Linked DNA regions of Yarrowia lipolytica. The protein of the gene in region 1 interacts with the protein of each later gene in a pairwise test. Links are inferred from orthologs where the notes say so. Each region holds a gene or a part of one and is shown in the gene's direction. Other genes may lie near its edges.

Region 1 (3,812 bases):
GCCCGCCTACGTGACACTGCTTGCAGCGCTGCTGCTCAACCTGTACATCTACAATTACCCCTATCTCCAGAACCGGACAGAGTGCATTTGGAGAGATGACCGTGGATGGAACCTCGACAAGAGCCACGAGGAGGTGCATTTGCTGGCCTTTGGCGACCCGCAGATCCGCGGAGCATCCAACACGTCCAACTGGCGGACGCGCCTCGACATCTTTGGCAACGACCACTTTCTGGGCCATATCTACCGAGTCATGGCCAAGCGCACCAAACCCAACCAAGTGTCGGTGCTCGGTGATCTCTTGTCTTCTCAGTGGATCACGGACGACGAATTCGAGCGACGGGCAGATCGGTACTTTGGGCGCATCTTTGACGAGTCTCTGGTCAAAAATAATGACGGGTACGTCATGTGGTACAATATTGCTGGAAACCACGATATTGGATATGGAGGAGAAATGACGCGTGAACGGATCGACCGATTCGAAAACCGATTTGGCAGAGTCAACTATTATGTGCCCAGAAAAGGGTATCGTGTCGTGGTGCTCAATAATCTGGCTCTAGACGGTCCCGTTTACGAACAGCAGTTCCAAAACGATTGCTGGATGTTTGTGGATATGGTGAGACAGGCTCGAGAACAGGAGCCCGACGTGTCGACCATTCTCATGACCCACGTGCCTCTTTACAAGCCGGCAGGCATTTGTGCCGACGGACCCATGTTTAAGTACTATGATAACGAGTACAAGTGGCTGCGGTCTCAGAACCATCTTTCTGAGGATGCTACCAACCGACTTCTTGACGGTATCTTCGGCAGGGAAGATCCTCGAGGCGTTATCTTGGCTGGCCACGATCACGAGGGTTGTGTTTCCAGTTACAGCTTTGATCCTGGACACGGAAACTGGACAGTTGAGGGTGGAAGAGGCAATGCCGTGTCAGAATATACCGTTCGAAGCATGATGGGCGAGTTTGGCGGCAACACAGGCCTGCTGACAGGCAGCTGGAACGATACAGAGGGCAAGTACGACTTTGACTACTCTCTGTGTCCCTTTGTCGTCCAGCATCTATGGTGGGCCACCAAGGTAGTGACCATTATTGCAACTATTGTTGCCTTACCAGTGGCTGTTTCGATCCACTACAGTTAGGGCTGTAATTCGTCTGATGCAGTCATTTTGGGCATGTTGAACAGCGCATGAGACAGCACGAGACGGCATGAGACGGCATGAGTCGGCACGAGTCCTTCAGTCCCGTTCAGCCCATGAACAGCTAATTATATCCCTGAACAAGGGTTTGCATTGTATACTTAAGTCTTTATTACTGATATTGAGAGTGGGCATTTGTATTGCATCTACGTACTTAACTCACTGCAGACAACTTTTCCGTTTCACGGTATCAGACAGGGAATCTCGACAGGACACTGTGGGAACTGAACTGATTTTATATTTCTACAATGGTGGTACTGTACGGCATCCTAGGATCCTTTCATGTGTTTTTCTAAGTCTTTTTTCAATTTTTTCAATTTTTTCAATTTTTTCAATTTTTTTTCTTCACTTTCTGCAATTTCAGGTGAATTTACTGCCACCATGCACACCCTGCAGTCCCATAAAAAGAAGCGAGCCAGCCATACTGATAAGAGCCAGAAAATCACGAGCAAATATTTTTATTTTTTCATTATTTTTTCGGGAAAAACGGCGCAAAATCCATAAACAAAACAGGAACCCCCATCTGCCCGAATCCAACTAACGCCGAGTACACACAGCCACGTGACGTGACTTCATATTACATACAGGTAGACAGAACTAAACAACCAAACAACCCGAATTTACACTACTGTACATACGTGCAATACGAGTGGTAGACCGAAGGTCTGGGGTGAGGAGACCAAGATGGAAAGTTATTTTATAACATGTCCAAATATCTGCGAAAATTTCACCTCCAAGAAACGATTCTGGCCGCAATTTTTCCGGATTTCCCCGGATTTCCCCGGATTTTCCCGAATTTCCGCGCCCAATTTCTCAATTTTTTATTTTTTTATTTTTTTAATTTCATTTTATATTTAATGTTTATTTTTTATTCCGCCCAAATCTATGCTGCTGGAACCTTCCATATTGTTATGGCTCCGATAACGTGTGCCGTTCGACCCAGTTTGGCGGTGGTGAAATTTCCCACGGCAAACTTTATTACTTGCAACGTATTGTAAAACCCCCATAACCCCAAACCCACGATCTTCCTTGTCGTCATACGCCACCACTAAAAAAAACCCACACAGCCAACGCTCCCCCCAAAAAACCGCAAAAATGGTCAACCCTGCTATTTCCAACCTCGTCATCATGCTTGTCATGATGCAGGTGTCCAAGAAGGTGCCCTTTGAGGACCCCCAGGTGCTGATGGGCATCCGAATTCTCTACGTGGTGGCCCAGTTGCTGGTCCTGGGCCTGTACCTTTACACCCGGTCCATCATTACCAAGAAGAATGGTGAGTATGAGAGTAGAACCGACGGTGGTCGTGTTCCGTGACCCGAAGGACGCTACTACGTGGTTTGGTCAACAGATCAGCGCCACTGTCCATAGAGAGAGTTCACAGACAGGGCACATATGTCACAGCATATGTCACAGCTAATGTCCATGTCATCTTTTTCACTGCTGTGATCTGCGCAAGTTACACCCAGCCTTCACCGTCTTTCAGTACTAACCCAGATCTCACCACCCTCAAATACGTCGAGCCTGCCAACGCTTTCGGCGGCCAGGAGGAGCCCAAGCTCGTGACCACCACCATCAAGGAGTACGATATCAAGCAGGTTAACTCTGCCATCCGAGGTGTCTTCACCGGTATCGCCATGATGGGTTTCATGCACATCTACATGAAGTACACTAACCCTCTTCTGTTGCAGTCCATCATGCCCATCAAGTCCGCCATTGAGCAGAACATTGTCCAGATCCACGTCTTTGGCAAGCCCGCCATTGGCGATCTCAAGCGACCCTTCAAGGCCGCCTCCATGTTTGGTGGAGCCGGTATGGGCGGTGGCGACATCAAGACCGACAAGAAGACCATTTCTGCCGCCGAGACTGCCGGTGCCGGAGGTGTTAAGGAGGAGTAAGCGTTATGAATAGTAATAGATTGTATACTGCACAAGCTTGGTGATTCTGAGCCTGGGCCATAGTCATAGGACTGCCTCAGATCTACACAATTGTAGACTAAATCCTTGAATAAATAATGAAATAAATTATGTCAATTGGGATAAAACAACGATATCTCTCATCCCAGTGGGTCTATGGCAGCAGTACAGATGACGAGAGGGCCGATGGTTGCCTAGCCTTACCCATGGCTTGAGTCAGCGGATATGGCGCTCGTTCAGTGATCAATGTACTTGTAGCAGATCGGGGTAAGTAGCAGTTAGCTCGTGTCGGATGCGTTGAAGAGTTGGAGCTGGGTACTCTATCACAAGAGTGTACATACGGTATTGTACTCCAGTTTCTGTAGTTCACCCAAGATGAGTAGTCAGCAGTAGGCTTAGCAGTCGTATCCGTATGCCAGGAGTCGCATGCTTCCAAGCAAGTTTCCTATTATGTCTTGTAGACACGCGTCAGCTCCAGCTAATGCTGTCAAAACGGATAGCGCAATTGTATGGTCTCTCTCAAAGCCCTCCGACAACCTCCTTCACCTTGCCGAGCTCCTCCAATCTCGTATGGGTTTCTGGAACAGCTCCTCTCAGGCGCTTAATTTCCAGCAATGACTGCCTCAGCGTCTCTCTGTCCTCCTCATTGAGCTCTTCGACAGGAGGCAGTTCCTCCAGCACCGCTTCCAATGTCACTCCTTCCTCAG
Region 2 (4,343 bases), on another chromosome or scaffold:
GATGTGTAGCTTGGAGGCTTGATACTGAAACTATCGAGCGTGTGGAGAGGTCTTTATACTAGCCACACCATGTCATGCTCGTATACATGTTTTAGACTTCTCGCTAACCTTACGCCCCCGCTGACCTTTTCCGGCACTGTGATTGGCCGGTTGGTCCCATAACGCACGTGACCCATCAGTGGCGTGTCTCGCTGACCTTTGCTGGGGATTTGATTGGCTGACGAGGAGGGTGAATCACGTGATGATCTGAGAGGTGCACAGATATGCTGACCTTTGAAGCGCGTCTGATTGGCTGGGTCGTGACCAAGTCACGTGATCCCGAGAGTGGAACATTCCCACAACCTGTTTAATCATGGCGAATACACAGGGCTAAGGTGGCTGGTAAGGTGGCCAAAATAAGACGCAAAAAGTGAGGCTTGTGTGTGGGTTATCAGATTGTCTCTGGAGGGGCGAATACGTTGGGAAAAAAATGGAAAAACGGGAGGAATTGCTGAGTAATATTTATTTGGACCTTGTGACCGACCCGTGTCGCAGCAAACATAATCCTGGTTTTGATGGACGATGCCAGTATCGAGTATGTAGAAGAACAGTTTCAAGTAAGAGACGTGGTGTCCATAGAGCTGCCGATGATACTCACTGTAAAGGTACATACTACAGTAGTCCATAGTCTTGAACATTCAATGCGCTCCAATGTTGTGATGAATATTGCGTCTTACCATGAAGAGTGGTTGCAGAAGTTGTATCATTTGATTGGACATTTCACGCTGATTTGATTCGTATGGCAAAATCTTTTTCCTTACAGAACGTCGACTTTTTGTAGTTGTGCTGTGGTAAAATAATCGGACAATTTTGGCCGAAAGTGGCAGACTTTTGACGAGGTTTGATCGACGATCTATGAAAATTTTAATCAAAATCATAATTAAAAAATAAATAAATAAATAAATCAAATTAAAAATCCAAATAAAAATCAAATAAAAATCAAAAAAAAAAATCAAATAAATAAATAAAAAAAAAAAAAAAAAACCATTGATCTTACTGTCGAATGTACGATACAGCACCACTCGCACTGTCTTATATGTACGTATGCTGTACTCTCGTATCAGCCTATTCCCAGAAGTGATAAAAAAGAACCGTCGCTGTTGATGTTGACGAAAACAGTCCAACATCCTATTCGTACAGTGCATACGACTACGGTACACGAACTTGTATCTCTCCTGTTCCGCTGTTGGTCGCACCATCGCTTACCGTCTAGTTGGTTAAACCTATTGTATGTACTGTACATACTCGTACTTGTAACTAATAACCACCGTTATCCACGCCGTTATCCGTTGTGCCATTGTTTACTTGTATCGTACTTCGGCTAATCGCCTGAGTGGTGTGAGTATAAAAAATGGCAGTCACACTTGTATTGCTGTACTGCGCCACACCTTAGCTGACCATACCTATGACGTTCCACGACGAGCACCGGTCCGGCACCCGACTCGTACTCGTCGTACTTGCAGCCTCATCCATACCCAGCAATGATGCCATGTTCCTATCCAGGGCACGGCCTCTTCATCACACCACCTGTGCTTCCGAGACTATATGTAAGCAAGTTGGGCAGTGTAAGTGGTGCAGGTCATGTGACCTTGTAAACAACAACCCGACTTTACAGTAACGCTTGGACACACTTGTTGGCCTGTTGAGTCAACCCGGGGCCAACCCAAGGCAACAAGGAGACCAAACCATCAATATATCGGACCAATATATCGGACCACGGTCGCCGCCGAATCGCCCCACATGGCGCTGGGCCGTTCCAGCTGAGCTGATGCCCCCCACGTCGCTCCCATCGTATATCCAAACCCTATCAGCATTTTTTCTGAAAAAGGCCGTTAAACGACATATACGACTTGGGAGTTGGATCAGTAGGCTGATGTTGATTTTTCAACCCATTTTACCAAACCAAAAAGCTAATCTAGCCGAGTCGATGGCGGATCGCGGACATGCTACTCTAGACCACGTTCCGGACGGCGGTTTCGACCGGCGAGGTTATGAGTACGTCAGAAGCAGACAGAAGAACAGATTGCGAGCACAAATCCGAGACCCACGGCCCCCTAAAACACGTCCAGGGCCCTAATCAGATGTGCCGTCGCGACGCCCCTGACGTGTTCACATGTTGAGTTTGGATGCAGAAGGTTCAGCATGTTTAGCCCGTTTGGGTTATCAGATGATTGCTTGCGGGGGTCGTTGGGGACCATTTCCACACGAATACACGGAAAAAAACCACACAGTCACACTCACCGTGTCAGTGCCATCATGTTGGTGCCCTTTACCCCCCAAATATCCCAGTTTACACATCTTGCAACCCCCCCGGGATACGACGCAAACGACAGGGTTAGGAGCAAAGGCTAATACTTTTCGTGTTTTATAGGCCCTCCCATCCCACCCTTTGGAGTCCCATATCTCACCTCGACACACCATGTCTTCGATTCTCGAGAGCATCAACTCCACCGTCACCCCCGCGGCCTCCTACATCGGCACCTACGCCAAGCTGTCCGACGCCCACGCCGACACCCTCAACATTGTCGAGCGGGTGTGGGCATCATACTTTGTGTGGTGGGGCAATGATCTCATTGCTTGCGGCATCTTCATTTTCCTGCTGCACGAGATTCTCTACTTTGGCCGGTGCGTGCCCTGGATGATCCTCGACCAGATCCCCTACTTTCACAAGTGGAAGATCCAGGGCGAGGCCAAGGTGCCCTCTGTGGCCGAGCAGTGGGAGTGCATGAAGTCCGTGCTCATCTCGCACTTTATGGTCGAGGCCATCCCCATCTGGGGCTTCTACCCCGTCTGCAAGTACGCCGGAATTTCCATCGACGTGCCCTTCCCCTCCTGGATGAAGATCTGTGCCCATCTCGCCCTATTTTTTGTGCTGGAGGATACCTGGCACTACTGGCTGCACCGAGGCCTTCACTACGGTCCCTTCTACAAGCACATCCACAAGCAGCACCACCGATACGCCGCTCCCTTTGGTTTGACTGCCGAGTACGCTCACCCCGTTGAGGTGGCTTTGCTTGGTGTCGGAACTGTGGGCATCCCCATTGCCTGGGTCATGCTAACCGGTGATCTCCATCTCTTCACCGTGTCTGTGTGGATCGCCCTGCGACTCTTCCAGGCCATCGACGCCCATTCTGGCTATGAGTTCCCCGTGTCTCTGCATCACTTCTTGCCCATCTGGGCCGGTGCCGACCACCACGATGACCACCATCGATACTTCACCGGCAACTACGCCTCGTCGTTCCGATGGTGGGACTTTGTGCTCGACACCGAGGCCGGTCCCGCCGCCAAGGCCGAGCGACAGCAGCGACTTGCCGCCAAGGCTGCTAAGAAGGCCAAGAAGCAGCAGTAAGCGACCCCGGCCACTCACTACGGTCGCGATACCCAATCCCGATCCAAAACTGACCCCAGTATATACATAAGTTATTTAATATGATACATTTCTCCTTACGACGAAGCGCCCAAAGCGCTACGCTCGAAGCTCTACGCTAGAAGCTCTACGCTAGAAGCTCTACGCTCGAAGCTCGACGCTCGATTAGCTCTCAGATCATGTACTTCAGATGCCCTCATCGTGTATAAATAGAAGCAGAAAAACAATTCCCTTTGGGGAAAGAGACAAAGAAAGGAAGGGTGAGGAAGCCCAAAAGAAGTAATGTGAAACTTTGCCGAAGTGACCCAACTTGGTGAACATGTTGTGATGGTGGAATAGGAGACATGTGGTTGATTGAAGGGAGGTTACAAGAGCCGGACTACATGATTTCAACAGTAGCCAGCATTACCTTTACTGTACTAAATATAATAATATATTATTATTATGGATTTATTATTATGATTATTATTGTTTAAGTAGGTCTTACATAATTCGCATATATACGAGAGTGTCTCATGACTAGACCAACAGTACCTACACACTTGTGGTACAATGTATATCAGGAGAGTGATGGCGTTACATCGGTGTTTCTTTTTCCAAAACACATCTACATGCTCGTGTGATCCTCCTGGTCAGTGGCAATACAGCTGTTTATGATGGATCTAGGGCTAGATCAACATGAAGAGAAAGAATCAAGACGAAGGACAGAAGAGATATAGCATACACCGATATCGTCTCACAGAATCCCAGTTACCAGTGGTTACTGTACTCGTCCATACACCGTGGAATACCCTCAAGTATCGTAGGGACCAAAGAGCTGTCAGTGCCTCTGGCAGTCTTTCTACCACCTCTCCCTCCATCTACCAACTGTCGTTTATGTCCATTGTTCCATGCTATGGGTCTGTAAAGACCACTGTACCCGCATCGTGTCTACACT
Region 3 (4,232 bases), on another chromosome or scaffold:
TGTATATGGACCATCACTTGTTGAAGAAGTGTGTTTTACGCGTTGATAACACCGTAAGGCTGCTTGGACAGATTGAAGACATGTCTATCACCCGTATAGCGTACAGCCGCATAGCCGTATAGCCGTATAGAAACAGCACTGCCCTCGTATCCAGCCTTGTTAGCCTGCTTTTTCGACCGGTGCTGAACCCTTTCTGACCCTTTCTGAACCTTTCTGAACCCGTGCTCTCAACCATTCTGAACCTACGCTTTGTCAAAAGAGTGGGGGTTCAAAGTGTGATTTGTGGAGTTGACACTGAGGATAACTACAGAAATCGATAGTAGAGACTTGTTGTGCTCATTGGTGAAATGTGTACCAGTCTTCAGCGACTTTGTTGTCAATGGTGGAATGGTAGAGCCCAGAGTTGTTAGTTGCATAAGCTGACTCAGTCTCTAGTATCAGAAGGCGAGCTATAGCAGCTCTGCATGACTTCCTACAGACTCCTGCTCATCCGGCCACTATTGATATATCGGAGTTCGACTTGTTTCGTACTCCGACTCCCACAGCTCAAGCCAGACCATCTACAATATCCACACTTTACTACTTTGCCAGTATAACGTCTTGTGAGCGAATACCCATGGATAGGACCCGTTCAACCATAGTGCTTCGCACTCTTTGTTTCACTTCCTTAACTATGTACATTACTGCTCAGCAGTCGTCTCACCAGGCACCTTGGCTTCCTTGGCAAGTCGCTTTTCCAGAGACTGGGGGTAGATGGCGTCCCATCGCTTGAGAACGCTATGGTCAGCATTCTCAGGCCAGGACTCAGCGGCTCCTCGTCTCCACAGGTCCTCCCAGTGGATGGTCACGGGCACCTTGACGGCCTCGGTGACGGTCGACAGGTCTGCCAGCGCCTCCTGTGTGTAAACGGGCCGGTACTGGCCGTCCTGCCACACGTTTCCGGCGGCGTTGGTCTTTCTCCACCCCTTGATGTCCTTCTTGCCGTCGTGGGTTCGCTTGTATCGCAGGTACACGAGGCCGTCGTAGGCATCACAAGCAGCCTGGTGGTCGCCGAAATCGGCAACGGCCATGGGCCGCCACAGATCCTGTCGCATGGTGGGCCGCTTGTTCTCCCAGTTGGGGTCCTTGAACTGTCGGTTGAGATGGTGCTCCGTCACGCCGGGGACCTGGGTGTAGGCCACCTGTCCCGTCTGGAGGTGTCGGTAGACGTACACAAACGCGGGCTTACCGTCTCGCTTGAGAGTGGCGGGCGTGTACTTTCGTACGGTGCCCATGGCTTTTGTGTACTGTGCCATTGTTGATGGAGATGATGTTGCAGTGTGAAATTTGTGATCTCCATTAGGGTTTGAGGGAGGTCTGGAGGGAGGGAAAAATTGCAAATGGTTTTCGCGGGATTCGAACTGGCGTTCACGAGGTGACGGTCACGGGATGATCGGTCTAGCTCTTCCCTTCGCTGACTAACGCCCGAAACCAACTCTTCTGACTCAGCTCGGTCTCGGCTCAACAAAGTTGAACTCTGAAATTTGGGGGGACGCGTCTAGCGAGACATCGATCGACCGAAAATGTGCAAGCGAAATAAATCCAAGAAAAGCAGATAATTGGAAAAAAATCAGGGGCAAGGAAGGAACCGACACGGGCCTAGGGATATATGTCACGTGACTACCCCTACTACTCCACCCACCGACACCATTCATACTGTTATACGTCCCCGTCAGAGGGCTTCCTCCTCGGTCTCTTGACATGATCATTCTACTGCTGTTTTTTGACTTCACAAGTATGGTGCCATTAGTGTTTTTCTAGGGTGGTTTTTCTCTGTAGGAGCTTGTCTTAGCTACGCTGTGGCGAAACTTGTGGTACGAGAGTGTAGAAGCAGGCACGGATGACGGGGGGAGGGGCAGTAAAGAGGGCCAAGGTGGCGATTTTTCGGAAATTTGAAGGTTGCCAGGTGGGAAATGGGCGGTCTAGACCCTGGTTTCCGAGCCCAACTTGAACCCCGTCCTCTGTCCATCGCTCCACCTGCCCATCTGATAAGTCTAGAAGGTTATGTGTCTTTGTCACCAAAAATGGCAAGACGTTACAATTAAGAGTTTCCAACTTTGGCGCGTATCTTCCCCTGACCTACGAAAAAAAACGCTACATTTGTACCGACTTGCTCGCCAACAACTCCAGCTACACCGCCAGCTCCAGCGAAATAAACAGCTCCACCCCTTGCGACATGTACAACGGCACCTTCAATCTCGGCCCAATAACGCTGACGGCCCCCAACGTGTCGTCGATACCGCCTCCTATCTACAAACACTCCATTCCACCACTCGTGTCATGGATCTCGGACGAGAATCTCGCGCTGCTGCTGCCCATCATCTGCTACTGGACGTCGGGCATCATGTTCCACATCATCGACCAGTACGAGCTGCTCGAACAGTACCGGATCCACACTCCTGAGGAGGTGACCAAGCGCAACAAGTGCACGTTTGCGGAGGTTGTTCGAGACGTTATCAAGCAACACATGCTCCAGACGGCTCTGGGCCTGCTACTCAACTACTTTGAGGAGCCCAACACGACTGGCCATGAAGCTCACGACATTTGGACGTGGCAGGTTCGGTTTGGAGGACAGACGAGCCCCGCAAAGGCGTGGCTCGCGGCGTTCGCCTACACCTATCTGCTGCCCTTTGTCAAAATCTCCTTTGCCTTCTTCATTCTCGACTCGTGGCAGTACTTTCTGCATCGGGCCATGCACCAGAGCAAATGGTTATACAAAAAGTTCCACTCCAGACACCACAGACTCTATGTGCCCTACGCCATTGGAGCGCTGTACAACACTGCTCTGGAGGGCGTGCTGATGGACTCGTGTGGAGCCGGCCTGGCATACATGGTTTCGGGCCTGACTACCCGAGAAGCCATCTGGTTCTTCTGCTTCTCCACGCTCAAGACTGTCGATGACCACTGCGGCTACTGCATTCCCTGGGACCCGTTCCAGATCTTGTTCCCCAACAATGCCGTGTACCACGACATTCACCATCAGAGCTTTGGCATCAAGACCAACTTTTCGCAGCCCTTCTTCACCTTCTGGGACCGCATTCTCAACACGGAGTACCACGGCACCCGGGGCTACGTGCAGAAGCAGAAGGAGATCACGGCCCAAAAGTACAAGGAGTGGGTTGAGTCTCGAAGCGGCTCTTCGTCCGAGGATGAGAACAAGGCCAAGGCCACCGAGGTGGCTGGCAAGTCGACTGGAGCTTCTACTTCCGAGCAGGTGGTTTCTTCTCGACTTGAGTAGACTACGATACACTATTTCACGAGCATAGCATCACGGCTCCCGAGCCACTAAACGACTAAACTAAACAGATAACATAACGGTACAGTATATAAACAAGCATCGAGTGCATTACAGAACGAGTAGTACGAGTATGAGGACTGTATATAGGACTGTACGGCACGGTACACGCACGAGAGCTATTGATTCAAGTGAGGTGGACAAACTTTCAAGCTATACGACTAATACGACTATCTCCGCAATCTCCGAAATACCGTTGTTGCGGTGGCATTGGAATGTAAACGTTGCAGGAAGTGCATGAGCAATCTACATTGTAGAGTGCGGGTTTTTGAGGTTAGTCAAATATTGGGGTAATAAGGGGCTGAAAAGGCGCTTAGAAAAGCGGTCGAAACACGTTTTTGGAGCGAAATCCCAGCTTTTTGCTCGCAGGACCAAAAGGGAAAGTTCAGCAGCCAAACAGTAATCACTCAAAGTTGTTTTCAGTCAAGGTTGATTTTCAGGGAGCAAGTTACAAGCTGGTCTTGTGACCTGAGGGGCTGTGTCGAGAATGCGAAGTGATACGCATACAGTAGAGAAGGTGTTGATGATGACAACGTTCAGATCGGGCAACGGGGCTCGGAATCGTGGAGGAGAGGACATATGATATTGATGCAGCATGTGTTGATGTGGTTTATAAACAGTTGGAGCTGATAGTGTGGGTACAATAGGAAGTACTTTCATCTCGGCATTCTACTGGACAACCTCAACCAGTTGGTTAAAAGTTCTGTACTGTTAACTGCTAGACAAGGCTAATAAAATATTAAAATATAAAATATAGAATATAGATATAGAGTTATAGGGTGTAGAAATATAAAATCAAAATATTAAAATACAAAATATATATATAAAATTTAAAAAAGTTTAAAAAATAGGAATACAGTATAGACCACCAACAATAGCTCCAAGACACGGAAATATA

Evidence for each region. The genes of interacting proteins can lie anywhere in the genome.
Region 2: the proteins of YALI1_B05995g (region 1) and YALI1_F14958g interact in a protein complementation assay, tested with the Saccharomyces cerevisiae proteins (2 studies listed by BioGRID). The link is inferred for Yarrowia lipolytica from reciprocal best matches to the Saccharomyces cerevisiae genes SND3 and ERG25.
Region 3: the proteins of YALI1_B05995g (region 1) and YALI1_E20626g interact in a protein complementation assay, tested with the Saccharomyces cerevisiae proteins (2 studies listed by BioGRID). The link is inferred for Yarrowia lipolytica from reciprocal best matches to the Saccharomyces cerevisiae genes SND3 and SUR2.

The regions. Positions count from the first base shown.
Region 1 is NC_090771.1:597,273-601,084, forward strand, and holds YALI1_B05995g (uncharacterized protein), read left to right. Parts: upstream 1-2,287; coding exon 2,288-2,465; intron 2,466-2,686; coding exon 2,687-3,087; downstream 3,088-3,812. Other genes in the region: YALI1_B05971g (uncharacterized protein), read left to right, coding at 1-1,135; YALI1_B05984g (uncharacterized protein), read left to right, coding at 1,203-1,733; YALI1_B06015g (uncharacterized protein), read right to left, coding at 3,625-3,812. UniProt on the Saccharomyces cerevisiae protein: Functions in the SND pathway, a SRP (signal recognition particle) and GET (guided entry of tail-anchored proteins) independent pathway for targeting a broad range of substrate proteins to the endoplasmic reticulum.
Region 2 is NC_090775.1:1,493,414-1,497,756, forward strand, and holds YALI1_F14958g (uncharacterized protein), read left to right. Parts: upstream 1-2,458; coding exon 2,459-3,388; downstream 3,389-4,343. Other genes in the region: YALI1_F14946g (uncharacterized protein), read right to left, coding at 678-1,238.
Region 3 is NC_090774.1:2,060,624-2,064,855, reverse strand, and holds YALI1_E20626g (uncharacterized protein), read left to right. Parts: upstream 1-2,215; coding exon 2,216-3,277; downstream 3,278-4,232. Other genes in the region: YALI1_E20635g (mitochondrial 54S ribosomal protein mL67), read right to left, coding at 681-1,295. UniProt on the Saccharomyces cerevisiae protein: Required for hydroxylation of C-4 in the sphingoid moiety of ceramide. Catalyzes the conversion of sphinganine to phytosphingosine in sphingolipid biosynthesis. Involved in the response to syringomycin.